7 linked regions of the Ovis aries genome follow. The protein of the gene in region 3 interacts with the protein of the main gene of each other region in a pairwise test. Links are inferred from orthologs where the notes say so. Each region holds a gene or a part of one and is shown on either strand. Other genes may lie near its edges.

Region 1 (4,075 bases), on a different chromosome or scaffold from region 3:
ACCACACTGAAGTCTGCTGAGTCATGAATATTAAATCAGCAGCAAGGTCAGATTCAGTAAGTATATGGCACTGAAAGTTAAGAAAGATTACTGAATTTAAGGATGTTTTGTTGTTCAAATGAGACAAGGAGCAGAAAATGCTAAAGTGGCCAAAATACAAACTCCATATTACCTGGCTTTTAGTTGAACTCCAAATTCTATTCTCTGATTCAAAGCATCCTATCTTTGATTCACTGAATCAAGTCTATCACTGCCATATAGCCCACAGGAGAAAAGAGAAAGATTCAGAGACAGACTTTCTACTTGACACTTATATGTGGAAAGGGAAACATGCCCCTTCCCAGCAGTCTCACACGGTTAATTCAAACTGGATACTGATCTTTCCCATGCTTCCTGGAACAAAAGCAAACATTATATCTTGATCTCAGACTCAATTTAAGAAGCACTTTCTTGGGGCTGGGAAGGACCCTGATGAAGGACAGGATATTGTGGGAAATTAGGTTAAAATCTTATGAGAAAGGGTATTTCAACAAAGGTAAGCAAGCCTGAGGGAAAAGGATATAAGAGACAAATGTACTCTATCAGAATCAGAAAGGAATTAAGAGACTTTGCCAAAGAAAACAAATGGTATGGAGGCATGCTAGAGAAAAAAGTCCCATGAGTTAGGAAAGTATGTAGAAAAAGAATGAAAGAAGGGGTAAATTGGGAGCTTCCTTCTTCCATGTTAGCTGGGTCATGGAATAGGTAGTTTTGGGGGATTATGCAGAAATACTAGGATAAAAAGCCACAGACTTAAATTGAGAAATTAAGACAGATGAGGTTACGCATAGGCAATGAAGAATATAAAGAAATCTGGTGAGGGGAAGTCAGGCAGGAATGAATAGGCATTTAGAGTGGGTCAAAGATGACCACTGAACTTATCAATTGAAGCTGGGGCAGAAACCTACTCCAAGGGCTAATATGAGACCCTTTCCAGTTATAGCAAGATACGACTTCACAGGGAAGGAAAGTCATTTCCAAGATACCAAGGTGGAGAGGTCCACTACGGGAGGAAAGGCTTGAGGGGAAGTGGAGGAAAGGGGGCTCTTGTCCTCACAAATAATGGATGAGGGCAAAATGAGAGAACAAGTCAGGAAGCAGGAAAGTCTCTGAGACAATCCCAGGCATAAAGCACAAAGCGGTTCAAACTAACAACATAACAACAGTGGCAAAAGAAAAATTCCTGAGAGGCAAGAGGGGTCTCCCTCTAGCTTAATATAAATGAATGGGGAAAAAAGTGTCCTAAAAAATAGATTCAGGGGACTTCCCTGGCAGTCCAGTGGGTAAGACTCTGCATTCCCAATGCAGGGGGCATGGGTTTGATTCCTGGTTCAGAAACTAAGATCCTGAATGCTGCACAGCCAAATAAATGAATATTAAAAATGTAAAGACAGTCCTCTTCTCCTTTAAAAAAAATAAATAAATAGACTATTGGGTTTCCAAATTGGGCAGGTTGACCAAAAGTCTTCTAGAAGTGGAAATCCTTAAGAAAAAGATAAACAGAAGTAATCCTCATGAGATCTCATTTTAGATAGAGAGTAGGAGTATGAAGCTCACACTCCTCAAAATGAAGAAACTATATGAATGATTTGAATGTATGAGGTCAACGTGAGATGACAAATACAAAACCATCCTCCAGTAGAAGAGCAGACCAACTAGCCTTGGAAATAAAGGGGTGGGGTGAGAGAGACTTGTGAAAAGATGCCACCTTATGGCTAGGAGGCAACTAGACTGATACAGCCCAGAGTTCCTGAGGTCAAAGATACTAAATGTCATAAACAGCTTCTGACCGTTTCTCCTTGGTGTGGGAACAGAAATATAAGATGAAAGTGGAGTGAGTCTTTCAGAGCCAGTAGGCAGAGGCCTCTCCGAGGAAGATGAAAGGATCTAATATGGGACGGCTTTCCCAAGGGGGTAATAGGGGAGAATAAAGAGAATTCTCCATGTGCTTGGACTGTGGGGAAGAGGTGATTAAGATCCAAGGTATGCCTTCTATTAGGAGACAGGAAAAGTCAATAAGACGCTAGGGTAAATGGGGTCTCTCCTGGGGGCTGCGGGGGCGCTGATCCAAGCACAATAATGCCCTGATGTTCATTCCCAGAGATGCGGGTAAAAGCAGGTGTAACAGAGGGGCCAAAAATAAGGGGTTAACTTCCAGAAGTCTCCCCCAAGGAGGGCCGCGGGTGGGATCGTGGGTCCAAGGTTCTAAGGGTCAGGGCTAGCTCCAGAACCTCGATCCCACCCCACTCTTCCCCGTTCTGGCTGGAGGGAGGGGGCTGAAGACCGCGTCCCTGGCCGGCGCGCCGCCTCACCTTGTAGAAGGCCCCGTTGGAGCCGCGCACCTCGACGGGCAGTCCCGGCTCCACATCCCCCCCCGAAGCCAGGCCGCCCATGGCGCCGCCACCGCCTCCGACTCCCCCGGCGGCGGCTGCAGCAGCGCTCTGAGTACGGGCCGGGCCAGGTCCCCGGCGTCTCCCTGGAGGAGGAGCTGGAGGGGGAGCCGCGGGGGGCGGGAGCCGGGCCGGCCCCACGGCGGCCCTGCCACAGCCAACGAGCAGGGGGCCGGGGCCGGGCCGCTCCCCGTCCGCCGCCGCCGCCTTGGTCTCCGCCACCGTGAGGAAAACGGCCGCCGCCGCCGCTGCCTTCGTCACCTCAGCTTCCGCCCGCCGCCGCCCCCGCTGCAGCCTCAGTCCCGGGACCCACTGCTGCCGCTGCCTCTACACGGCCTCCTCCTCCCTCTGCCGCCGCCGCCACCTACTGCGCAGACGCACCGGGCACCCGCCCGCCGCGCGCGGGCCCCGAGGGCCACGGCGCACGCGTCAAGGCTGGCGACCCAGCTCTCGCTGGCCAGCGCAGCAGGGCTTCCACACTCCTCTTGCCTCTCTCACGCCCCCTCCTGGTCGCTGATTTACGCTTGCGCAGAACCAAACTGACTCTCTTTCTTCGCCACCCCACCATTCCACCGCCCAGTCTCTGCCTTTCCCCGCCCCACAACACAGAGAGCTAACCAATCATGGGGAGGGAGGGGCCGAGCTCACTCAATCGGATTGGGCTTCTGATGCTCCTTGGTCAGGCCACACCCACTTCACGGCTGTGCGCTCCACCAGGCTTGGAGAAGTTAGGGACGGGCATGCGCCTGAATGATTGCTTGGTCACTTTCTCCACCTTTGTCTTTTTGGTGCGCACGCTCCGGGGCGGGAGGCGGGGGGAGGGCGCGGGAAGGAGGAGTCGAAAAGCAAAAATGGGCCTAGTGCGCGTGCTCTGGGCCTTACAGTCCACATGCCGGTATGGACTCTTTTGAGTGTTTCTGTTTCTGCGCGTTAAGATTTAAATTAAGAGTCACCTTCTTGCCTTGAGAAGATTCTGATCCTGCATATGATGAAAGGTTAAAGAAAGATTTCAAGACACTACCGAAAGGCAAATGCAATTTGGCACAAGATTATTATCTAAATGCTGAGAGATTTCAAAATGGGAAAAATTGTTAGAGAAAGGATAGTTGAGGGGAAGCTTAGGATTCATAAACTAAGTAAGAAATTTAAGTAGAAGTGAATAAAATAGCCAAGAAATTAGGATCATGTGTGTGCAGCTAATCATTTAGCCAATATTTATTTAGCCCTCACTGTGTTCCAGTTACCCAAAACAAGGATTTTATGATATATTGGAAATGGCGCAGACAATCACATTTAAGTAAATAAAGTGATTAGAGTTCATCTGAAGATGTGTTAAAGATGAGGACTAGGATAGAGGGAATCCCAAAGACACAAACAATGGTCAGTTGCCCTTCAGCATGATAGGGAAAGACCACTACAGGTGAGGTAATGCAAATTGAGATTTGAGGGATAAGTAGGCGTTTGCTAGAGGAAAAATGCAGTAAAACTATTTTTGAGAGAACAAGGAATAAACAGTGCAGAGGAGCAGAAAAAAACAAAACATGTCCTTTGGGGAACCACAACTAGTTCAAATAGCATTTGGCTTGAAGTAGGGAAGCTAAACTGTGAAGCACTTATAAATCAGGTTAAGGAGAATGGCCTTCACT
Region 2 (4,178 bases), on a different chromosome or scaffold from region 3:
AGTCAGTGGCCTTTGCCTCCTTCTGGATGCCCAGGCCTCTTTGCTCACCTAATACCCAAGCCCATCCCTTATACTTCTGGTGAGGTACCGTTTGATAGTGGAACGAAAGAGACAGGCCTAGAGGGGACGTTGAAAGCTCTGCTATTCTGTTCCTCCTTTCCTCCCTTACTGAGAAACCAGCGAGATAGAGGACCTGCCATGCCCCTTCCATCAGGCACTCCTCCCAGGCCAGAGCCCTGCCCCTTCCCAGGCCTTCTCTGTCCAGCTGCCTCTCAGCCTCCAACCCCAGAACAAGACCTGTGGCAGGTCATCTGTGCATTGGCCTGGAGCTGGAGAGTGAGGCCATAGGATCTTTGGCAACTCTTGGTTCCCAGGAGTTCCTTAGAGATCAAACCTCTCCAGAGGGAAGCAGGAGCAAGGCCAAAGGGTGTGCAGTGGATGGGGAACAGCAGGCAGGGCTATGGGTGACGCATGCCTCTGGTCTAATAAACTGGGTTTTAACCATCTCCTCTTCAGTGTCGTTCTTCTCTTATTTGAATAGTATTTAGGCCTTCCCACTAAGTGTCTAGAGCTGAGCTTGGCTTGGGGCCACACAATCAGGGGAGGAGTAAGGAGGCGGGAGCAGGGGTGCTCTGGTCCTCCTGGGATGGGACAGGCTGACATCACACCAGGAATGGTTTGAACCACTGGGCAGGGAAAGAGGAAGAGGTCAAAGGCAACAAAGATCCCCAAAAGAAGTCCTAGCAGAAAGGATTCTTTGGCGAGGAGGAAGGGTCACACTTCGAAATAAACTTAAAATCTGGTAGCAGTTTAGGTTAAAAGTCAGGGGGAAAGCTGGGCTGAAGTTCCTGTAGTTATTGAGGCACTTTATGGAATGAGCCCCGGACTATGAACCGGAAGATCTGCATTATAGGTTTCGACTTTACTACTAACTTGGTTGACTTCACCAAGTCATTTACTGAGTTCACCTCGCCTGCTTGTAAAATGGAATAAACAGTGCGTTCTCTTCAGTGTGCTGGGCTTAGAGCAGGAAGAGAAGGAAAGGAAAAACGCACTGCGCCAAGATGAAGCATTTACTCCATCACCCTCGCGCAGGGATGGTGCAGTAGTCCCCCTTTCCAGGTCCTTGTCTCCCTCCGTCGGCCTGGGGGCGCCCTTTCGCATGGCCTCTCTGTCCCAGAGCTCTTCTCGATGGTTTTCCCTCCCGGATCATGAAAGCTGGAGGGAGTGGTCACACGCCTTTTCCGCTAGTTGCTCCCCTCTAGCCCACAGTCTCGCTGCCCTGAGCCTCCCGTGCCGGCGGGCCGGCCGGGCGGACAGGAGGGCGCACGGGGGGCGCGCGGGGGGGGGGCGGGGGGAGTTCCGGTTCCGGTTCTTTGTGCAGCTGCAGCAGCGGCTCCGGGAAAGATGGCGGCCCGGGCGGGTTTCCAGTCTGTGGCTCCGAGCGGCGGCGCCGGCGCCTCAGGAGGGGCGGGTGCGGCGGCTGCCCTGGGCCCGGGCGGGACACCGGGGCCTCCGGTGCGAATGGGCCCGGCGCCGGGTCAAGGGCTATACCGCTCCCCGATGCCTGGAGCGGCCTATCCGGTGAGTGGGGCAGGAGGAGGGGCGCGGGCCGGGGGCGGGGCCGAGCGGGGGCCTGGGAGTGACAGGGGTGGGGGGAGGAGGAGGAGGGACGCGCCTGGGAGGGATTCGGGCGCCGAGTTGGGGTCGGGGGAGACGCTGCGGGGAAGGGAAGGGAGGCTGTTAGCATCCCCACCTGCTCCTAGAGGCATTGTTTTCTTGGGGAGTCAGGATGTAAAACCAGGGTGGACGAAGTGAGGCCAGACGTGGGCCTGTGAGACCTTGAGTGCAAATGGACTAGGCAGGTCCAGTGCCCAGGAACACAGAAGGTGTAGCTGGCAAATTGAGGTCAGCTTCTGAGGAGATAGTGCCTGACAGTACTCTCTGAGTAAATATGGGACTAGAAGAGATGTCCAGTGTGCCAGATACAAAATAGACCGGGGGAGGGGGGCGATTTGAGTATAGTCTGGCTGTCTTTGCTTTGGGCCTATATTCTCCCGTGGAGTCAGAGCTGGAGCAGTGGAAGTTCCAATTACTTGGATATCAGAGAGGTAGAGGGCTCTCCTCCCACCCCACCATTGTGCTCCACCCCACCTTCCTGCCTTGTTTCATTCAAAGAACTCAGGCCTCCCCCACTTTCCCTTTCTTGGTGGGATTTGCAGGGGAAGCCATGACATCTCTAGGTCCTCTCCCCTCTGTAGAGACCAGGTATGCTACCAGGCAGCCGAATGACACCTCAGGGACCTTCCATGGGACCCCCTGGCTATGGGGGGAACCCTTCAGTCCGACCTGGCCTGGCCCAGTCAGGGATGGACCAGTCCCGCAAGAGACCTGCGCCTCAGCAGATCCAGCAGGTCCAGCAGCAGGCGGTCCAAAATCGGAACCACAAGTAAGATGATCCCAGGGTGGAGGGAGGGAGGGAGGAGGCCTGAGAGGACGCAGGTGCTGGGGTGCCTGAGCAGAGAAGCGCAGTGCCGTGTCAGCAGGCGGTACTCATTCTTGAAATAATTGCTTCGTGTTTGTTAGGGGCGGGGGTGTCTTTGATTTGAGACAAGCTTTGCAGTTTCTTCACTTTACTATAAATGGAGGTGCTGACAGCCTGTCTTCATGTTCTGGCTAGTTCCATCCCAACCTGATAACAGTATTTATTCCAAACAGTGCAAAAAAAAAGAAGATGGCTGACAAAATTCTACCTCAAAGGGTGAGTCCAGGGTATAGACCTTCTTGAGGTTGTGGTGAGTTGGAGAGTAGAGATGGTCAGCCTTAGATCCCAATGATATCTTTCTGTTCCCTAAGATTCGTGAACTGGTACCAGAATCCCAGGCCTATATGGATCTCTTGGCTTTTGAAAGGAAACTGGACCAGACTATCATGAGGAAACGGCTAGATATCCAGGAGGCCTTGAAACGTCCCATCAAGGTAACACAAGAGAGTACTAGGCAGAGAGCCAAAGGAGAGGACTCGGGAACCTTCAGCAGGCTTAGGATGAGAAATCAAAGGCATAGCACAGCTTTCCTTGGCATTTAAATTACATCTCTTCTGCCTACAAACTGAGAAGCGTAAGAACAGAACAGCAAAGGGGAAGGGGCTTTTGATAGTTCTTGCACCAGAAATATACCCTGTTGGTGTTTTTGCCGTAACTGCTCTGCCACCTTGGGAACCTGGCATCTTGCATGACTGTCTACTTGGCATCCCGGTGAATGCATTTGCACTGAGGCCCGTGGCCTGTGCTCCTCTTCTCATTGGAATCTGCATCCAGCCACCCCAGGGACTGGGTAGACAGTAAGCCAGTCTGTTAGGAGTCATTGTCGGGTTTGGGGGGACCCTTGTCTTCAACATCAAACCACTGAGGCCCCACTGTCAATCCTGTTTCTGCCTTCCTCAGCAAAAACGGAAGCTGCGAATTTTCATTTCTAACACTTTCAATCCGGCTAAGTCAGATGCTGAGGATGGGGAAGGGACGGTGGCTTCCTGGGAACTTCGGGTAGAAGGACGGCTCCTGGAGGATGTGAGTTCAAGGTCCACCGTGGTCGGTGTCCGGGGTGGGAGCTTCTGGGAACAAGCAGTATTGTCTGGTTGGCAGGAAGCCTGACTGGTGCTTACAGCTCCTGTTGGGAACAGCAGGGAGAGGGTCACTGTGTTCTCTGCACTAACAGACAATGGTTCTTTGTGTCTGGCTCCCACAGCTTGGCCCTCTCTGTGGTATCACATCGAGAACCTTATTGTGCTGGGATTTGATTTGTTGTTTACCTCTCTCCTGATGCTGCTAGCCATTGGATTTGGCAGTATCTGCAGATTTTTCAGTTATTTTTTTTCTTGTAAACCAAGTGAATTTGCACTTAACATTTGGGCCATGCTCTCTTCCCTGAGTCCTTGAGGTCCTTGATTTCTGCTGTGGCCTCTCCATCTTCCCAGCTCCTATTGGAAACAGCTCGCAGTTTATGTGGGATTGATTTCTGTGCCTGGCTCTTTGTTTTTTCATGGGGAACATCAGCTGCCAGGTGATAGCTTCCAACTTCCCACCCCAGAAGCTCCTTGGAGACGCTCACCTGCCATTCCCTTATACTCTCTGGCTCTCTATTTTTAGCTGTTCACAGGCAGGCCAGTGTGAACGCAGT
Region 3 (3,164 bases):
AAAAATAGAAAGTACAAAGGTCCTGGGGCCAGAGCTACTTGTGTGCAAGAATCAGCAGAGAGAACAATGTGGTTAGAGCACAGCAGGAACTGAGAGGAGGCGCAGATGAGGTAGGGCCTGGTAGGCCATTACCAAGACTTTGGTTTTTCTTTTGACTGATAAGGGAAAACTATTGGAGGGTTTACAGCAGGGAGGGGAAGTGATCTAACTTTTGTTCTAAAGGAGTCCTGTCCTTACTCTGGGGAATACATACACTATAGGAAGAGAAGAATGGAAGTTAAGTGGTTAGTTTCAACAGCCTGTGTGAGAAAGGAGGGCTGGGACCAGGGTGGTATTGGTAGAAGTAACAAGAAGTGATTCGACTGGGAATATATTTTAAAAGGTGTTCCAACAGAATGTGGTGGCCCAGAGGCTGTCTCCCCAACTCATTTGTCAACTATTTGAATAATCGCATTCAAAGTAGAAAAGCAAAGCCATTTTTAAAACACAAGTGTTTATTGTTAAGCAGGGGATAAATACCCAGTAGTCAAGGGACACTAACATTAGGACAGAAATAGAGTCAAAGATAGGCAGGACTCCTGCAAATGGTGATTGGATGCTAAATTTTGCAGAACTTTTTACACTTTGCTATTTACAAAAATAATTTTAAACAAAGGGATAGAAGTACACAATACTATTTTCCAACCAAAGAAAAATCCCTTTTAAATATCGCTTTGTCATGAAAGACAGGACCCCTGAGGGTCTTTCATAACTCTTACAGGGTGTGACGCTGGCGTGCAGCCAGCACTGCTAACGGTTCTTTGGGTGAGGGAGATTTCATAAGCCAAGAAATGTGTTAAAACCACTCAGAGGGAACCCAGGGGCTACTGGCCCTCCAAGGAACACCGAGATGTATGAGTCGGCTTGGCTGAAGGGTGGTGAGTCCTTTAAACCTGAGCAGGTTGAACCTCTCTGAGAGATGGGTCTTTTGCGCTTGCACGGTCCAGGCTACGGCCCGACCCACATCCAAGGTTGGGTCTTCGCCTTTATCCAGCGGCCCCCGGACCTGCGAGCGCGGACGCCGAGCCCTAGTCCGGGCCACCCCGGCCCCGCCCCTTGCCTTCCCCGGCCCCGCCCCTTGCCTTCCCCGGCCCCGCCCCTTGCCTTCCCCGGCCCCGCCCCCTCCAGCCGGGCGGTGCCTGAGCGGGGCCGTCAGCTCGGCTGTGTGGGCGGAGCTTGCGCCGCCGCCGGGACCCCTGCGCGCACCGCCCCTCGCTCCTAGCCACCGCGCGTCTCCTCTGACACGCACTTCCTGCGAGGCCTCCGAGAGCACCTTAGCCTAGCCGAATCGAGCTGCGCCCTGCCCTGCCTTTCCAAGCTGTTCGCCATGGTGGATGAGCTGGTCCTGCTGCTGCACGCGCTTCTGATGCGGCACCGCGCCCTTAGCATCGAGAACAGCCAGCTCATGGAACAGCTTCGGCTGCTGGTGTGCGAGAGGGCCACCCTGCTGCGCCAGGTACGTCCGCCGAGCTGCCCTGTGCCCTTCCCCGAAACGTTTGACGGCGAGAGCTCCCGGCTCCCCGAGTTTATCGTGCAGACGGCGTCTTACATGCTCGTCAACGAGAACCGATTCTGCAACGACGCCATGAAGGTGGCATTCCTGATCAGCCTGCTCACCGGGGAAGCCGAGGAGTGGGTGGTGCCCTACATTGAGATGGATAGCCCCATCCTGGGCGATTACCGGGCCTTCCTCGATGAGATGAAACAGTGTTTTGGCTGGGATGACGACGAAGAAGACGAAGACGAAGATGAAGAAGATGAGTATTAGGCCCGGAGACCCTCGGGCCTAGAGGGGGAAGGGCACTGCCCTCCGCCACCCCCGCTGCCTCCCCGCCTCGCCCCGCCCGGAGCCACCGCGCTCCCCTAACGCTGTGATCCCCTGGCCTTTCCCTCCCCTCTGGTTGTCTTCCTCACCCTCCACTCTCTGCCGTAGTGCTTGTCTTTGTTCCAGGCATAGTGCTCTCTAGTCACCTGCTGCTGAGGCTGGGGCGTCTCTGAAGTGCACTCTGCTGCCCACTCTGGCCAGCCCCAGGACCCTCACTGCTCGTTAGAACTGTGTTCTGAGCCCCAGCTCTAGGGCAAGCCCCTCTTACAAACCGGTCAGCCTATACTCTGCCTTGCTGACTGTCAGGCCTGCACCTCTGCCCAGCGACCTGCGCTGCCACCCAAGCACCCTCCACCAGATTCCAGCGATAGACCCGGCCTTTGGAGATCAGGAACAATCTAGAAGATGCCTTTGTGGGCTACACCTCCTGGGACACTGATTTGGACTGCTCACCAACAACTCCACCCCCCTCCCCAGGGGCTAATCTTTCAACTTGATTAATTGTTCCCTACTAACTCCAGGTCTTCCTCCTGGCCCACCAGATTGCTGCAGGGGCCCATTGTGCCTGGCAACCCAATTGTTGACATTTCTCCTATGCATCAGTTTTGCACACCCGTCATCTTCATTTCAAAATTGCAGCAGTCCCATCGAGGTGTGCATTTGGACAAAAATACTAAAAACCGAACAATACAAACAAAAGCAAGTACTCAGCCCAGCTCCTCAATGCTACCTGGAAAAAGCATTTGCATTCTTTTCAATAAATTTCAAGCACTACCAAAAAAAAAAAAAAAAAACAACAACAGCAAGTGTCTTTTCATGGTTAAGGGCTATCATTGGCCTTTGCCACTTTCACCCTGACTCATTATTCCCACTGGCATCAGGGAATCTCATTCAACTTTCAATCTCTGTACTCCCCACTGTCACGACTAAACTCCAGAGGACAGTTACTACAGGGCTTTATGGGGAAACTGGTACTACCCCCACTGATGCCTTTCTTATAGCCCTGGTGAAGGGAGTGTTCTCTGGTGCTTCTGAGGTGGCATGGGTAAGGGGTGGCTGAGCAGGCAGGTGGCACACCATCCCAAACTGGGACAATTTTGAGAGAGCTTCAAGGGGACACTATTAATAATTAGACTGGAACAACAAGTACAAGTCAGGACACACAATATTTCTATTTTCATGAACTTTGGGGTTCTTCCTCAACATGGTCAGAGATGTTCTGCCTGTTAACTCTTAGTGCCTGTGGGGTGCTATTGATTTTAGGCTTCAATACATAGTGTAGCACATTGTTTTAAAACCC
Region 4 (4,197 bases), on a different chromosome or scaffold from region 3:
GGGCCGCAACCGCTGGGGCAGAACTTGCCCTCCGGCTAGAACAGCGGGGACAAGGGCTGAGCCTCGCAGGCCACAGAGCGAGGCGGCTTCCGCGGAGGCGGGGCTAACGCGGATCGGCAGCTGATTCCCAGCAGGGATTTCGGGTCCAGGGGCCGTCATCCCGCCACCCCAGCAGAGCCGTAGCCCGCTCTCTGCATCTCCCCTACTCCCTCCATCAGGTACCAATCTATAGCTCAGGCAGCTTCTGAGCAATGAAAGCCCAGCCGTTTTCAATAGAGAACGGTAGGGACGGATTCTCCAGAAGTGATGAAATGTTTCTTCTGCTCTGGCAATTAAGACGGCACAAAGTCGCCTTTCCTCCGGTGCCACCCCCAACATCAAAGGATGAGAATTCAAAGCCATTCATGCTGCATTGAAACCTCACAATGCAGCTGGAAAATGGAAGTCGATTACTGGACATAAATATGCAGTAGTTAAAAGCAAAGAGTTAGAACGAAATTCAACTGCAGCAACCCAAAGACGTGCGGAAACTTCCAGAACTGGAGTCCTCCTGGTAAACACGAGGGGCATCCTTAGAAAGCACGCTTCTGGCCACTGAGCCAAGCTCGGTGCTCTGGACCCACGTGGCCCAGGGGCCATGTTGTTCTGCCCATCTTGCTACAGTAACGGCCCCCAAGGCCTCCGAGAACATGGCATTTAGAGATTTTTCTTTCTCATGGCTGTGAAGCTGCTGACCACAGAACATTCTCTCTTGGCTCAGGGCTGCTGAGGCCACATCTGTCCTTGGTCCCCAGGCCCCGCGGGCCTCCGCCCCCGCACACACCCCCAGCCCAGGGCTCTCCCAGGGGCGCTCCTGCCGCCAGTTCCGATCACAGGAGAGAGAAGTAACCCTAAAGAGGGCAGTGTTACATCTGCCTGCCGCATAAACCGTGCTTCTTTTCTGATTGATTACTGCTCTCTTTAGGAAGGTATTTGATCTTTAAAATAAAAGCCCAGAACACAGAAAGCTATACAAGTCTAACAATGTGTCAGGGTGTGTGTTTTTAAGGCAGGAAAATACTTCCCTCCCACACAAATGTGAGTTCTGGGGGAGATGCCACGGAGCCCAGGGAACAGAATATCTGGGAAAGCTTGCTGGGTCTTAAAAATAGATGATTGAACACAGATTTGAGAATGCTCAGGAGCTACCTGAAAAAGAAAATTAAATCTCACATATTTTTGATATCCAAACTCCATTCTGATGAAACTTCTAAGAGGGTGGCATTTTGCATTTCCAATTATAATAGAGTAATTGTGTTGCCATAGTGACCGCAAAATTCTGCAATAACTTTTGTTGCTTTGTAACTGCTGTAGTGTATATTTGTGTACAAGCAGCTGAGTTTTCTTAATTCAATCCCTCTCCCTCCCCCTGCCTGTCCCCCTCCGCCAGTCACCACCACCACCTTCCCTGGCTCAACCCAAAGAAAATTATCAAAAGCAACTAAAACTCCAGGCCACAGACGATCACGGTACAAAAGAAAAAGTGAAACCAGGCCAAGGTGCAGACCCACCAGTATTACCCCAGTCTTGCTAGGCTGGCGCTGGGCGAGGGCTGTTTACATGTTTACTCCCAGGCCTCCCCGGCTTAGGCGGTTTGTGGGAATAAACAGAAAAGCCTGAGCGGAGGGAAGAGGGGAAGGAAAGTAACTCCACAGGCCCCTTCCCTCCCTCGCCCAGGGCAGGCAGAGAGCTGCTGCAAGCAATTAGGTAGGTCTCTACAGTAATGCAATTAGGATTTAGTTAAGAAAGTCATTAGTTTTAAAATAACTTGAGCTTAATTTCTGCAACACTTTATTTGAAAATTGTGTCACAGCAGGTCAATTTACAACATGCAATAAAGAAAACACGCGTATCAGCTGCTGCAAGTTATTACAAATTTCTGATGTGCATTAAATGAGTACACTGGGTTCCACCCCCGGCCTTTCCGACTGATACGCACGATCTCCTGCTATAACAGTGTCAAATAATTCAACGCTCAATGTAAATACGAGATAATTTGCTTCGGATGCCACGGTGGGAGCTTGCGATGCCGCCAAGCGCGGCTCCCGTCACCTGGGCAGGACGGGGCCCAGGGCTCGGCCTGCCCGCACCCCTCGGGTCGCGGGCGCCCCACCCCTGCCGTTCCGGTCCGGGGCACACACACCCGGCGACGGCGCACCCCCGCCCGCCCGCCCGCCCGCCAGCCCCGGGAGGGACGTTTTTCTGCAAACTCACAGCCTCGACAAAGTTACATAAACGGCGCCCGCCGGGGCTCGGGAGCCCCCCGGCCCACCTGCCGAGGGCTCGGCCTGGACGGGACCGGGCGCCCCGGGGAGGCCCGCCGGCCGTCCTGCGCCCCCGCCCCGCGGGCGGCCCCCGCCGGGCCGGGGGGCTGCAGCGGGGAAGGTCCGGGACGGGCTCCGGCTCCGCTCCGGACGCCCGCGGGGCCGCGCGGCCTGGGCGCGCGGGGCCGGGCCGGGGCCAGGCCGGCGGGCGGGCGGACCCCCGGCGTCCACCTGCCGGGCCGGGCGGCGGGGGCGTGGAGGCGGGCGGGCGGGCGGCCTGCGGGCGGGCGGGGGGCGGACAATGGCCCGCGGGCCGGGCCGGGGCAGCGCTTACCGCGGCGGCGGCGGCGGCGGGCGCTCCGAGCCGCATCTTCTCAGCCTGCGCCGCCACCACCACCACCACCACCGCCGGCGGCGGGCGGGCGGGCGGGAGGGAGCTCGGGCGGCGGCGACGGCGGGGACGCGGCCGCGGCGCGCCGGGCCCAGGCGGCTGAGGCGGCGGCGCGGGCGGGCGGGCGGGCGCGCGGGCTCGGGCGCGGCGGCGGCGGCGGCGGGGACGGTGCTCCGCAAGCGGCGGCCCCACAACCTCCCCTCCTCATTCACAAAAAATTGACCCACGTTGAACCATGATGCCGCTCCCCCCCTCCGGCACCGAGGCGAGCGCTGATAGGCCAGCCCCGACGCCTGTCAGCGGCCCCGGCCCCGCCCTCCCGCCGTCGGCCCTGCGGCTATTGGCTGCACCAGCCTTGCATCACCTCCCCTCGCGGGTCCCTCCCTCCCGCCCGGTTTCTAATGAAGAGCTCGTCAATTACGGCTCGGCCCCGCCCTCTGCCCGCCCTCCCCGGGCGCCCGGCGGCCCTCCCATTGGCCCACTGGGGGGGTCGCGGGAACAGCCCCGCTTGGTCCCGCCCATCGGCCCCGCGGCCTCCAACTCGCCAGGCCCAACGCCCTCCGAACGCCAGGGATGCTCCACCCCCGCCCGCCTCCTGGTCCCCATTGGCTGCCGAAGCTGCCAATCCCAGGGGCGGGGCTATCAGAGGACGCTATAGGCGCCAGCTGGTGGACGCCTGATGGTTGGGAAAGTGTTGGGAGTCCAGGCGCGTGGTGACTGTCAACACGGGCCGTGGCCCCGGAAAGCCTCGTTCGCCGCCCCCAGAGAGCTGCGCCGCGGGGCCCAGCAGTGAGGGCCGGACGGGCCGCTCTCCTGGCGAGGGGAGGCTGAGGCGCGGGCTGAAGAGGGGAGCCGGTGAGGCCCGGCCGCGGCCGCCATCTTGGGTACGGGCAGCGATCACGTGGTGCGGCCTGCTCCCGGCGACGCAGGGGCGGTGCGAAGGCCGAGTGCGCAGGCGCGGAGGGCCCCGCCCTGCCCCGCGGCGGGAACGCGGCCTTGGGGGCGCGGGGCCGGGCCGGCCGGCCTTCCCGGCGGGCGCGGGGCGAGCGCAGTGCGCCTGCGCCGGCGGAGGGCCAGGGGATGCGCGAGCGCTCTCCGAGTCTGGTCCGAGTTCCCCGGTCCCGGGCGGAGGCCGCAGAGACGGCTTCCCACCCACTTTCCGGTCGTTCCGGGCTCGCATGCACCTTGGGCGGGGGTCCGGGCCAATCCGTTCACCCCGAGTGCTCAGAGTCCGGGCTGTGCCTTGCGGAGGCCTTCAGAGACTCCCCTTGGGTCGCACCCCAGGGGGGCGTGATGGGGTCTGCGGCGAGGTCGGAGCTGTGAAGCCCACTGGGCAGCCCATCCCGAATGTCACACCTGCGTGGGGACAGCCCTGCCGGCGTAGGGAGGTGCTCCTGCGAAGGATGGAGCCTCCAGAGAAGAACACCTAGAACAGTGACGTTCAAACTGTAGCCCTTTCGGAACTGTTTTATTAAAAAAAAAAAAAAAAAAAAAAACCGCTTG
Region 5 (4,263 bases), on a different chromosome or scaffold from region 3:
CTGTCCAGAATCTAATGTATACAACGTGAACAAGAGCAAGCAGATGGCCCACCAGCCACCAGGGCAGTGGCCTTGTAATAAATACCATGTAGTCTCTGCAGACCCCGGAACAAGGCTGAAAACGTTCAACGGTGTTACGAAAATGGGCCTGACCTTGCAGACCCCAGAGCCCCTGCCTCAGCCAGAGCGCCCGTGGTGCCCACTTGGCCAAAGAGGCTCCTTACTCTTTGGGTCGCTGTTTCTCAGGCGCCTTCTTTTCCTTTGTGCTGTGACCACCACTGTCTCCACTGTGCTTTCTCTTCTTCCCCAAGTGCTTCTGCATCTCCCGCAGCGGGTCCAGGCGGCTCTTGATCCTCTCGTCGGGCCCAGGACCAGAGGCGGGGCCGCCCGGCCTAGGGGGCAGCTGGTACCATGGGGGCTGAGTCTGGGCTTCCGCTGCACTCTGTCCCAGGTATGTTAGGATGCCCAGGGCTTTCTCTTGCCTCTCCTGAGGGAGACAAGATGTGAAAGTGAGAACAGGAAGCATGTTCCCTCTCAGGCAGCCAGGGTTCCCGCAGAGGCAGAACCAGACATTCAGCCAGCAGAGCCCGTCAGGAGCCGACTCTGCCAGCTGCTGGGACTTCAGAGATGAGTCCCCGGGGTGCCCCTGCTCTGGGGCACCAGGACAGCTTCAGCAACAAACAGCATAGGAAGGAGGGGACTGCTTATGTTAGGGTTCAAAGGCAGCATCTTTGAGGAGATAGAAAAGAAACTGTGAAGCCAGCCAGGTAAAGCAGTGACTGAGGGGGGAGGGGCGGGGAGGCAGTCTGATAGGAAACCCCGAGGGCAAGTGAGGGACAGCGTCTGATTTACATTTTAAGAAGCTTAACACTTCCCAACATCTTCAAGGTTTGCACATCAGGTTAGAGACCTGAGGGGGTCTACCTAGCACCCGGCAATAATCAACACCTCTTAACATGCTATGTTCTAATACTATTCTGAGTTCTCTAGCTTGTTTAATCCCCACCATCTCCCTAAATATTCCCGTAATCACACCTGAGGGCAAGGTACACCCCCACCCCTGGCTCCACCCGTGACCCGAGGAAGAGGGTAAGGCCACCTTACTTTCTCCTGTCGCTTCTCTTCCTCGTACTCTTTATTGCCTCTCGTCGCCCCCTTGCCTTCTTCCAGCAGCTCCCGAAACAGATCCACAGGGCCAGAACTGCATGGGGCTCCCGTTTCTGCTTCCAGTGCAGGAAGTGAGTTCTGATGCCTGGCTTTCTTCCGTAGGAATTCTGTGCGGGCCTGGAGGGAAAAAAAGTTACAGGCAGAACATTCAGAACCTAGCTGTAGCCCAAGGGACTCTTGAGCCTAGTGCTGACCACTGCAGTGGTAAGGGCTCGAAGGAAGGGAGCAGGGGCACTGGGAACCCAGAAGAGGCACCTGACTATTCCTGGGGAGAGGGTGGAGCAGTGAGGCAAGGCATGGTTTGTAAGCCATCTTCCAAACAGTAAACGAGGGGGTTTCATTTCTGACACAATGAAAACAGCTATAAAGGCAGCCAAAACATCTATTAGGACAGGTGATCTGAATTCCAGGAAGGGCGCTGAGTCATTATGCCCATTTGATTTCCAATTTCTATTGATAACCGTGAACTTAAAAAATATTGCTTTGGCTGCATCAGATCTAGTTTTATAGCATGTGCGATCTAGTTCTCTGATCAAGGACTGAATCTGGGGCCCCTGCATTGGACGCCACTGGGCCACTAGGGAAGTCCGATAAAGGTGAGCTTTAAAAACCCTGACTACCTCCCAGCCAGTGCTGACGATCGGATTAGTCAAAGGACTGGAAGCTAGGTGTAAACCAAACAGGTGAGGAGTTAGAGAGACTCTCTAACGTTTGTGCGCAGCGGTGCAGGCAAAAGGCACGCCTGGCGCAGCGGGACTGGCTTGAGACACTGTCGCTTCGCTGTGGCTCCTCTGAAGCCATCTCACTTCTCCGCCGAAGGGAGATAACCGCCCCGCTAAGAACGAACAGGGCTCGAGAGACTGCAAATCAAGCGCTTTGCACGGGATGAACAGGGGAAAGCGAAACTGAAGTCGCTCAGTCGTTTCCGACTCCTTGAGACCCCATGGTATGTAGCCCACCAGGCTCCTTCATCCAGGGGATTCTCCAGGCAAGAATACTGGAGCGGATCGCCATTTCCTTCTCCAGGGGATCTTCCCGACCCTGGGGTCGAACCCGGGTCTCCCGCACTGTAGGCAGACTCTTTACTGTCTGAGCCGCCAGGGGACAGCAAGAGCTCACTGCACAGGGTGTTTGTACAGCTAAAGTAACAAGCGGCCCGAGCTTCCGTGAACTGCCCAGGGCTCCGATTACTCACGACCCCCTACTCCGGCCCTCCAGGAGGACCAAGGAGAGGTCGAGGGGAACGTCGGCACGGCCCGCAGGCCCAGCCCGCCCGGGAGCCGGGCCCCAGGTCCGCCAGGGTGGCCCGCTCCCCGGCGCCGCCCCGCTCCCCGGCGCCGCCCCGCTCCCCGGCGCCGCCCCGCTCCCCGGCGCCGCCCCGCTCCCCGGCGCCGCCCCGCTCCCCGGCGCCGCCCCGCTCCCCGGCGCCTGCGCGCTGAGCCGCGGCGCCGCGTCCGCCCGGGCCGGGGGCTCACCTCCTGCTGAGCGAGCAGCGCCCTCCGCTCACGCTCTTTCTCCTCCTCACGGGCTCGGGCCTCGTCACGCCGCACGCGGGCGACATTGTCCTTGTTCCGGACGTGCCAGCTCTTCTTGGGTAAAATATTCATGGCGCCTCAGCCGTCCGCGGACCGACAGGCCCACCTCCTGGCACTTCCAATTGGCGAGAGGCAGGCCCCGCCCCGTTGCTCCTTCCTCGGCCACGGATTGGCTCTGCGCTGCCTGACACGACCCCCCAGGGCTGTAGCGAGAGGTGACTGGCTGCGGGGCCCACGTCCCCCGTCTCCGAGAATCGCGCGTGGCGTCGCCTAGCGACCGCCGCTCCCCAAGACTCTGATTCAATCACGTGTCCCCGCCCCGAGGCTCCTGAACGCAGCCGCTGATTGGCTGGCGCGGTCTCTCTCGCGGAAGAGTCCGCCACGCTCTCAGAGCCACACATTTGATTGGTTTATGTCCTGTGAAGGCTTGCCCCAGCTTCTGGACCGGAGATTAAAAAGCACTCAGCGGCCTCCGCTGTGTTTATTGACACAGTACTAGATTCATTGATACAGTACTAGAAAGAGGTTCACTGGAGGGTCGGGGCCTCAGCAGGGAATCCCAGGGCTGGAAAAGCACGGGGTCTTCCCCAGTTCACTCATTTTCCAAATGATGTTGACGAAGCTCAAAAAGGATCTGGGAGCAGGTCTGGGGCTGGAAGTGGGACGTCACCCCAAGCCAGGCTGGAGAGGTCAAAGAGTTCTGTCGGCCGAGCTCAGCGCCACAGCACGCTGTGCCAGGAAGACTTTATTCTGCGCCTCCTGAGGGAAAGGTAGAGGGGAGGTGAGACACATCTCTCCCCTGTGTTCTTTTTCATACTCTCCAGGACCCCTTCCCAGGGGCCAGGCCTGGCTCACCGTCTGTATCTGGCGTTTGAGTTCAGAGATGAGGCGTCCATATGAGTTAGCCAGGGCCACTGTATACGCCATCAGGATGCTAGCGGAGATAAAGTGGAAGCCACTCCGCAAACGTTCTCAGAATATCTTCCACGTAGGGCTTTTTAGAAAGCAGGGGTCTGGACCTCCTCCTTCAGACTCAAGGAGTCGAAGCATCCCAGCCCCCTCCTTCCCGAAGACCCAAGAGTTTGGGCCCCAACCCCCTTCTCTCTCGGAAGCAGGCAGCGGGACCCCAGGTCAGACATTCAGAATCAGACCCAGGAGTCTAGCGCCCTCACCTGGAGATCAGCAGAAGGGGCACAGCAAAAGCCTGGGTACCCAGGAAGAAGAGAAAATTCTGGGCCATCTGAGGCAGTTTGCAGATAGACTCGGGGATCGCCACCCAGATGGACGACTGACCCCGGAATGGACCACACAGCTTGGAAGGTGGGATCCTGGAATCAGAGATAGGCAGAGGTCAAGGATGGCCCAAAGTCAGAACCCTGGACAGGAGGGTGGAGGGTGGGAGAGGCCGGTACCTCCCACACTTACAGGAAGATGCTATAAAGCACAGGAACCGCGGAGATGGCCAGACCCAGGAGAAGGACCAAGGGGAAAAAGAAATTCACAGTGGAGGCTCGAAAGGTGCGGGAGGCCGGGGAGCAGGTGGAGAAGAGGGTGATCTGGC
Region 6 (4,158 bases), on a different chromosome or scaffold from region 3:
CTCTAGAGGATCTTCCCGACCCAGGGATTGAACCCAGTTCTCCGGCATTGCAGGCAGATTCTTTACCGTCTGAGCCACCAGAGATATAACCACTCATTCAACCCACCTATCTCCGTTCTTCTTTCACACCAAATAACTGTCTTAAAAAGGAAATCACTTGGCACTTGGCTACATACTTCCCATTGCTTACAAGTTCTTTCCCATGATGTCCAGAGTCTCCAAGGTCAATTCTAGGTACAATATATTGGCTGAGGGAATTGCATGAATATAATTGCTAACATTCTTAACGTTTATTCTTTGACAAGCGTTGCTCCAAACACTTCACATTTCACAACAGCCTTATATGATAGGTACTTTCATTGCCCTCACTTACAAGATAAGGAAACCAAGGCAGAGAGAAGTTAAATATTTTGTTCCAGGTCACAGCAGTCAGGGAGCAGCAAAACAAGAGAGGCCAAGCAACAGAGCTCCAGACACATGGCTCTTAGTCCCCTATTCTCTACTGCAGAGCTGTCCAAGGAAAATGAGAAGCCAGCTATATATGTAATTTTAGTAGCCACACTAAAAGGCCAGTAGCAACATTTTAAAGTCAACAGAAATAGGTAAATTTTATTTTGAATATATTTTATTTTGCCCATTACCCATATATGATTATTTAATCAGTATGATCAATAATCAAAGTAATTAATATGATCATGTAATCAATATTAAAATTTTACTTTTTTATACTGATTATTCTAAGCGTCAGTCAGTTCAGTTCAGTTCAGTTCAGTCACTCAGTCATGTCCGACTCTTTGTGACCCCATGAATTGCTGCATGCCAGGCCTCCCTGTTCATCACCAACTCCTGGAGTTTACCCAAACTCATGTCCATCGAGTTGGTGATGCCACCCAACCATCTCATCCTCTGTCATCCCCTTCTCCTCCTGCCTTCAATCTTTCCCAGCATCAGGGTCTTTTCAAATGAGTCAACTCTTCACATCAGGTGGCCAAAGTACTGGAGTTTCAGCTTCAACATCAGTCCTTCCAATGAACAACCAGGACTGATCTCCTTTAGAATGGACTGGTCGGATCTCCTTGCAGTCCAAGGGACTCTCAAGAGTCTTCTCCAACACCACAGTTCAAAAGCATCAATTTTTCAGCACTCAGCTTTCTTCACAGTCCAACTCTCACATCCATACATGACCACTGGAAAAACCATAGACTTGACTAGACAGACCTTTGTTGGCAAAGTAATGTCTCTGCTTTTTAATATGCTATCAATGTTAGTCATAACTTTCCTTCCAAGGAGTAAGCGTCTTTTAATTTCATGGCTGCAGTCACCATCTGCAGTGATTTTGGAGCCCCCCCAAAAATAAAGTCTGACACTGTTTCCCCATCTATTTGCCATGAAGTGATGGGACCAGATGCCATGATCTTAGTTTTCTGAATGTTGAGCTTTAAGCCAACTTTTCCACTCTCCTCTTTCACTTTCATCAAGAGGCTTTTTAGTTCCTCTTCACTTTCTGCCATAAGGGTGGTTATCATCTGCATGTCTGAGGTTATTGATATTTCTCCCAGCACAATAAACTGTGGAAAATTCTGAAAGAGATGGGAATACAGACCACCTGACCTGCCTCTTCAGAAACCTATATGCAGGTCAGGAAGCAAAAGTTAGAACTGGACATGGAACAACAGACTGGTTCCAAATAGGAAAAGGAGTACATCAAGGCTGTATATTGTCACCCTGCTTATTTAACTTCTATGCAGAGTACATCATGAGAAACGCTGGGCTGGAAGAAGCACAAGCTGGAATCAAGATTGCCAGGAGAAATATCAATAACCTCAGATATGCAGATGACACCACCCTTATGGCAGAAAGTGTAATTTAACACAATTCAGACTAGTCCCATTTCAAGTGTTCAACAGCTGTATGTGGCTAGTGGCTACCATACTGGACATTTAAGAAGACCAAAGAAAGGTAAAATGGTTGAGCTGGGAGCCGAAAGACCTCATCTCTAATCAAAGCTCTTACTGAGTGACTTTGGAAAAGTCTTTTTTACGCTCTGGGTCAGTTTCCCCACATGTATTCTGAGCAAATGGGACAAGAGTCCTAGGGATCCAGCACATGTGAGAAAGTCAAACATCTGCCAACAACTGCAATTAACATGTGTCCAACTTTCTGCACTTTAAAATTAGCTTTCACATTCATTGATTAACACAGTCCTCAAACTAGCCTAATAGGTAGCTATTACTGTCTCTGTTTTATACATACAGAAGTTGAGGCTCCAAGAAGACAATAGAACTTGTCCCAAAGCCACAGAGCCGATCAGTAGAGAAGCTGATACTCAAATGCAAGAAAGTGCTCTCCCACCACGATCCTCAACTCAGTGACTTGAAGCAGAGAATTAAAGGGGAATGGTTGTGAAGATAGTCTGGGGCCTTCAGAAAAGTGAAAGGGAGTCAAGTCTCAGGGTTGGGTGAGAAGAGGCCCAGACGAAGTTAAAAAGAGGTCCGGGCCTTGAGGATCGTAATTAATTGAAAGAACCCAGGAGAAATTCGAGGAAGGGACCTGGTTGACAAGAGAAATGAGAGGACCCAGGCCCAGGGAAGAGATGGGAGAGAGTGATATGAAGGAACTCTGGTCCTGCGATTCCTGCCTGGGTGAGAGGACGGTCCCCCCAGCCCTCCTCGACCGTCATACCTGGTAGCTCAGAAGTTCCCCAACGTCCATGGTTGCAGTCTCAGTCAACACTGGCTACTCGGATTCCCTCCACTCACGACCAAACCGCGGCCCCCAAAGCGGCAGCTCCAGCCACACTGCCGTAAAGCGCCTGGAGCAGGGGCCGCAGAGCCAATGAAGCAAAAGTGCGCGCGACACGCAAGCCGGCCACACTGCAGTAAAATGCAGCGATACTGCAAAGCGCCCTGCTTTTAACAGCACTACTTCCGCCCGGAACCTGAAGGGGGCGGGGAAAGGGGCGGAGACTTGAAGGGGGCGGTGCGTTAAAGGAAAAGAGTAAAGAAACCAAGATTTATTGCGCGCCCCCTACGTGCTGGGCGGAGTGCAGGGCAGGACGCACGGTGTTTCCCTTGTCCTCTCTTAATCCATTCAGTGACCTAGGCAGTTTTATTCCTCGTTTTATTCTCAGTTCCAATAGAAAACTGAGGCATTGAACTGCGCTCTCCAGTACTATACCTACTAACCACCTGTGTTTACTGAGGGCTTGAACTATGGCTAGTCTGAATTAAAATATGCTTTAAGTGTAAAGAAAATACCCATCTGATTTCTAAGACTTGTGTTGATTACATGTTGAAGTTATACTTAGGGTCAAATAAAATATAAAATTTAATTTCACTTTGCTGTTTACTTCACCATTTCTATTTACTTTTTAAAATGTGATTAGTAGAAAATGTAAAGTACTCGTGTGGCTCTCTTTGTAGCTTCCACTCCATTTGTGTTGGACAGCACTGGCTCAGAAAGTGTAGTGTCCAAGACAATTGTTAGTACCTGTGAAACAGTTGGTGATGACATTTCCTTCTCTGGGCTTCTGTTTATTCATCTATGCAAAGGCCAGTGGAACTGGATAATCCTGTTTCTACTCAAGTCGTGTAAATAGGTTTTCTGTAGGTGAAAGTTGCCCATCATTGGAAAAGAACTATTCAAAGAGTGCATCTGAGCTCCTGGGATTTAAATGTTTCTGTCTTCAAAGAGAGCTAAGCCTCTCTACTAGTTCCCTTGGCGATTAGTCTGGTGTTTTTCATGTTCATGCTGTCTGTTTTAGTCCTTTCAAGCTGCTATGAAAAAAAAAATACACTGACTGGCTTATAAACAACAGAAATTTATTTCCCACAACTCCGGGGGCTGAGAAGTCCTAGATCAAGGCACTAGCAGTTTCTTCGTCTGGTGAGGGCCTGCTTCATGATTCACAGAAGTCCCTTCTTACTGTATCTTCACATGGCAGAGGCAGGTGAGGGTTTTTTTTCCCACCTCTTTTACAAAACTAATCAGGAGGGCTCCACTCTTTTGATCTAATCAGTTCGTCAAAGCCTTACTTCCTAATACCATCATCTTGGAGTTAAAATGTCAAATTATGGGTTTTGGGGAGATACAAACGTTCTGACCATCACAATATTGATAACCATCCTCCTCATCTTACCTCCACTGTCTCCAATTGTA
Region 7 (3,269 bases), on a different chromosome or scaffold from region 3:
TGGACACATCTGTGAGGAAACTACAGACAGGAAAATAAGGGGTGATGTTTTCTTTTATCACTGCATTTATCCAAATTACCTTTAACAAGTACACATTGCTCTTTTTATGTATCTTTTCTTTCTCTGATACAAATTCCCTGAGAAACAGAAACTCAAACAATTCCTCTTATAGGAGGGAAAAAAATTTTTTTTCCTTAAAGGTCAAAAACATTTGCACGTGTCAACCCATGTACTTTGTGATCCAGTACCATTTTTCAGCCATGATCCCCAATCCTTACACCCTGGGCACAGGCTATCTATTTTATTGTCACAAATGAGGAAACCTAGGCTCAGAAAGTCAGGCAGCCTCCCCAGGGCTGCATGGTGGTGAAGATCCATCAAACACCAAAAGCCTTGCCCTTCAACTGTGCTGCGAGAATGGTTGAGGCTGTGGGCCCATCTGACCCGCTCCCCCGTCCCTGCTGTGTGAATGGCTGAGGCTGTGGGCCCATCTGACCAGCTCCCCCGCCCCTGCTGTGTTGTTTCTACAGCCTCCATGTACTCTGAGATCCAGAGGGAGCGGGCCGACATCGGAGGCCTGATGGCCCAGCCAGAACACAGAGAATGGAACCCAGAGCTCATCAAGCCCAAGAAGCTGCTGAACCCCGTGAAGGCCTCCCGGAACCACCAGGAGATGCACCGCGAGCTGCTCATGAACCACAGGAGGTGGGAAAGGAGCCCCCCCACCCTGTGAAAGGCCAGCCTGGTAGTCACCCTGGGGCTCTGACAGACAGAGCAGGTCTGAGGGTGCCCCATGTGGTCAGCGGAGAAGGCAATGGCACCCCACTCCAGTACTCTTGCCTGGAAAATCCCATGGATGGTGGAGCCTGGTAGGCTGCAGTCCATGGGGTTGCGAAGAGTCGGACACGACTGAGCGACTTCACTTTCACGCACTGGAGAAGGAAATGGCAACCCACTCCAGTGTTCTTGCCTGGAGAATCCCAGGGACGGGGGAGCCTGGTGGGCTGCCGTCTGTGGGGTCACACAGAGTCGGACAGGACTGAAGCGACTTAGCAGCAGCAGCAGCAGCATGTGGTCAGCAGCACACACTGTGGAGGTCCAGCAGCCCTGTGACCCCGCCTAGTCAGCCACGGGTGCCTGCTCTCCATGTGTCGGCTGCGTGGATGCCCTGTGCCCAGACCGAGGGGCACACAGGGGAATGGGACCCAGTTCCTGCCCTCACAGAGGAGACCGATGTTTGACCAGATGGTGGGACGGGTGCTTTGAGGGAGGCACGAATGGCCTGCGACCCCAGCGGAGCCACCAGCCTGGGCTCCAAGGACGAAGTGATGCCTCAGCTAGGGCTAGAAGAGTGGGTGGGAGTCAGCCAGGGTCGGAGGTGGGTACTAGCCGCGAGCAGCTGATGGATGAGAATGTGAGAGTGCAGAGGAACCTGGAGGAGCTCAGAGAGAGTGAAGAATGTGGGGCTGTGAAGGGTCCCAGTGCTGGGTTTCACCGTACAGGAGGGACGAGTGGAGCAGGCAGGCCAGGAGCATGCAGTGGGCAAGGCTGGCTGAAGGTGTCGGGCCTGGGACTACTGGGTTACTGAGGGACTGTGGTGAAGTGCAGGCTTCCCAGCTGGCACAGGGGTAAAGAACCTGCCTGCCAATGCAGGAGACACAAGAGAGGCAGGTTTGATCCCTGGGTGAGGAAGATCCCCTGCAGGAAGAAAGGGCAACCCACTCCAGTATTCTTATCTGGAAAAATCCCATGGACGGAGAAGCCTGGTGGGCTACAGTCCATGGGGTTGCAAAAATAGTCACACACGACTGAGGCAACTGAGCATGCATGGGGAAGGGAGAGGGAGGTTGAGCGTCCCTCCCTTCCCAAGAAGGCCTCTATTCAGCAGCACCCGGACGCAGGTTGCAAAGCCTCCGAAGCTCCCTCTAGTGGTGGCTTTTGGTATTGACGCCGGCTGTGATTGTCCTTATTTTCAACTAACATACCGTCCAGCAGATCTCATTTTTCATCCATGTTGTCTTCCTGCCCGTTGGTTACTAGTCTCTCTGTATCCACCGAGACTGGTTAGGGCCCCTCAACAGAACCCAAAAACTCAAGGCCCTTGTATAAAGTGGCATTGCACAAGCCCGCCCTCGGTATCCACAAATTCAATCTGTGGAAACGGAGGGTTGACTGTGTATTGGAAGTACTTCGTCAAGATCTCTTTTAGAGTTATCCCTTTTAAAATCACCAGTTTGAAAAACAGAAGCCTAAAGACAAATCAGGGTGAATGTTTGAGTATAAATAACAAAAATATGTACGTTATCTCTCACAAATCCATAAAGAAAAAATGAACAGAAGGTACAGTTAATTCACAGAACAAATGAAAGTAGCTGGCACCCATCTCCAAGCTGCTCCACCAGACCCTTCTTGCCTACCAGATTCTGCAATACAAGAAGACTGGACAGTAAGGAGAAATAGATGCTCTTAAATACTGTCGACAAAAGTTATAAATTGGATAACCTTTTCTAAGGAACAGATGGGAACATATAACCAAAAATCTTTGAAGATTTTGCCTGACCCAGCAATTCTACTTCTAGAAACTTACCCTGAGAAAATAACCAGTAATATCCTACAGCCTGCTCTCTGCACTCAGACAGGCCCGGGTACAGATCCGCCTTCAGTCTGTTCACACCTGTGACGTGGACTGGAGTCTCAAGTCTAGGGGTCCCCCTTCCCTGTACCCTGGAACAGAAATGCTTGCCCATCCCCGGGCTACCAGACTGCACGAGGCACTGGCTGACGTCAGTGCAGGCTGCAGCCCTGGGTGCAGGGCGGTGGGCGTCTCCTAACGCGCACCTCCCCCCCCACACACACAGGGGCCTGGGTGTGGACAGCAAGCCTGAGCTGCAGCGTGTCCTGGAACACCGCCGGCGGAACCAGCTCATCAAGAAGAAGAAGGAGGAGCTGGAGGCCAAGCGGCTGCAGTGCCCCTTTGAGCAGGAGCTGTTGAGACGGCAGCAGAGGCTGAACCAGGTGGGTGGGGGCCCCAGCCCCAGCTTCCTCCAAGACTACCTGCTGGCCCAGGGAGGCGCTCAGCCTGCAGTCACAGCTGATGAGGAGGCGGAGCCAGATGAGGACTGGACCCAGGGTCCACCCCTGGCCTGCGTTCTCACTCGGCCACTCCCTTCGCTGTGTGACTTGGGTTCAGAGAGGGAACGCACTGGTCCAGTTTTCTCATTGGCCCCATCTATTGCATGCTGATTCTGATTATCTTCTCACAGCTGCCC

Evidence for each region.
Region 1: the proteins of LDOC1 (region 3) and FXR2 interact in binary tests that used the Homo sapiens proteins (3 or more experiments, as listed by UniProt). The two-hybrid records come from large-scale screens. The link is inferred for Ovis aries from reciprocal best matches to the Homo sapiens genes LDOC1 and FXR2.
Region 2: the proteins of LDOC1 (region 3) and SMARCD1 interact in binary tests that used the Homo sapiens proteins (3 or more experiments, as listed by UniProt). The two-hybrid records come from large-scale screens. The link is inferred for Ovis aries from reciprocal best matches to the Homo sapiens genes LDOC1 and SMARCD1.
Region 4: the proteins of LDOC1 (region 3) and HDAC4 interact in binary tests that used the Homo sapiens proteins (3 or more experiments, as listed by UniProt). The two-hybrid records come from large-scale screens. The link is inferred for Ovis aries from reciprocal best matches to the Homo sapiens genes LDOC1 and HDAC4.
Region 5: the proteins of LDOC1 (region 3) and LENG1 interact in binary tests that used the Homo sapiens proteins (3 or more experiments, as listed by UniProt). The two-hybrid records come from large-scale screens. The link is inferred for Ovis aries from reciprocal best matches to the Homo sapiens genes LDOC1 and LENG1.
Region 6: the proteins of LDOC1 (region 3) and CTNNBL1 interact in binary tests that used the Homo sapiens proteins (3 or more experiments, as listed by UniProt). The two-hybrid records come from large-scale screens. The link is inferred for Ovis aries from reciprocal best matches to the Homo sapiens genes LDOC1 and CTNNBL1.
Region 7: the proteins of LDOC1 (region 3) and FAM107A interact in a two-hybrid assay, tested with the Homo sapiens proteins (2 studies listed by BioGRID and IntAct). The two-hybrid records come from large-scale screens. The link is inferred for Ovis aries from reciprocal best matches to the Homo sapiens genes LDOC1 and FAM107A.

What each region holds. Positions count from the first base shown.
Region 1 is NC_056064.1:27,152,552-27,156,626, forward strand, and holds the start of FXR2 (RNA-binding protein FXR2), read right to left. Parts: upstream 2,801-4,075; 5' UTR 2,433-2,800; coding exon 2,352-2,432; intron 1-2,351. UniProt on the Homo sapiens protein: mRNA-binding protein that acts as a regulator of mRNAs translation and/or stability, and which is required for adult hippocampal neurogenesis. Specifically binds to AU-rich elements (AREs) in the 3'-UTR of target mRNAs.
Region 2 is NC_056056.1:136,225,193-136,229,370, reverse strand, and holds the start of SMARCD1 (SWI/SNF-related matrix-associated actin-dependent regulator of chromatin subfamily D member 1), read left to right. Parts: upstream 1-1,378; 5' UTR 1,379-1,407; coding exon 1,408-1,584; intron 1,585-2,261; coding exon 2,262-2,449; intron 2,450-2,702; coding exon of another isoform or gene 2,703-2,718; coding exon 2,719-2,761; intron 2,762-2,856; coding exon 2,857-2,979; intron 2,980-3,445; coding exon 3,446-3,568; intron 3,569-4,178. UniProt on the Homo sapiens protein: Involved in transcriptional activation and repression of select genes by chromatin remodeling (alteration of DNA-nucleosome topology).
Region 3 is NC_056080.1:94,166,926-94,170,089, reverse strand, and holds LDOC1 (protein LDOC1), read left to right. Parts: upstream 1-1,284; 5' UTR 1,285-1,366; coding exon 1,367-1,807; 3' UTR 1,808-2,664; downstream 2,665-3,164. UniProt on the Homo sapiens protein: May have an important role in the development and/or progression of some cancers.
Region 4 is NC_056054.1:2,119,454-2,123,650, reverse strand, and holds the start of HDAC4 (histone deacetylase 4), read right to left. Parts: upstream 2,801-4,197; 5' UTR 2,638-2,800; intron 1-2,637. UniProt on the Homo sapiens protein: Responsible for the deacetylation of lysine residues on the N-terminal part of the core histones (H2A, H2B, H3 and H4).
Region 5 is NC_056067.1:63,980,625-63,984,887, reverse strand, and holds the start of LENG1 (leukocyte receptor cluster member 1), read right to left. Parts: upstream 2,801-4,263; 5' UTR 2,775-2,800; coding exon 2,643-2,774; intron 1,285-2,642; coding exon 1,105-1,284; intron 488-1,104; coding exon 225-487; intron 1-224. Other genes in the region: TMC4 (transmembrane channel-like protein 4), read right to left, coding at 3,393-3,461, 3,558-3,636, 3,875-4,030, 4,128-4,258.
Region 6 is NC_056066.1:66,596,191-66,600,348, reverse strand, and holds the start of CTNNBL1 (beta-catenin-like protein 1), read right to left. Parts: upstream 2,801-4,158; 5' UTR 2,713-2,800; coding exon 2,683-2,712; intron 1-2,682. UniProt on the Homo sapiens protein: Component of the PRP19-CDC5L complex that forms an integral part of the spliceosome and is required for activating pre-mRNA splicing.
Region 7 is NC_056072.1:42,922,450-42,925,718, forward strand, and holds part of FAM107A (actin-associated protein FAM107A), read left to right. Parts: exon of another isoform or gene 1-530; coding exon of another isoform or gene 531-535; coding exon 536-705; exon of another isoform or gene 706-2,858; coding exon 2,859-3,243; 3' UTR 3,244-3,269. UniProt on the Homo sapiens protein: Stress-inducible actin-binding protein that plays a role in synaptic and cognitive functions by modulating actin filamentous (F-actin) dynamics. Mediates polymerization of globular actin to F-actin. Also binds to, stabilizes and bundles F-actin.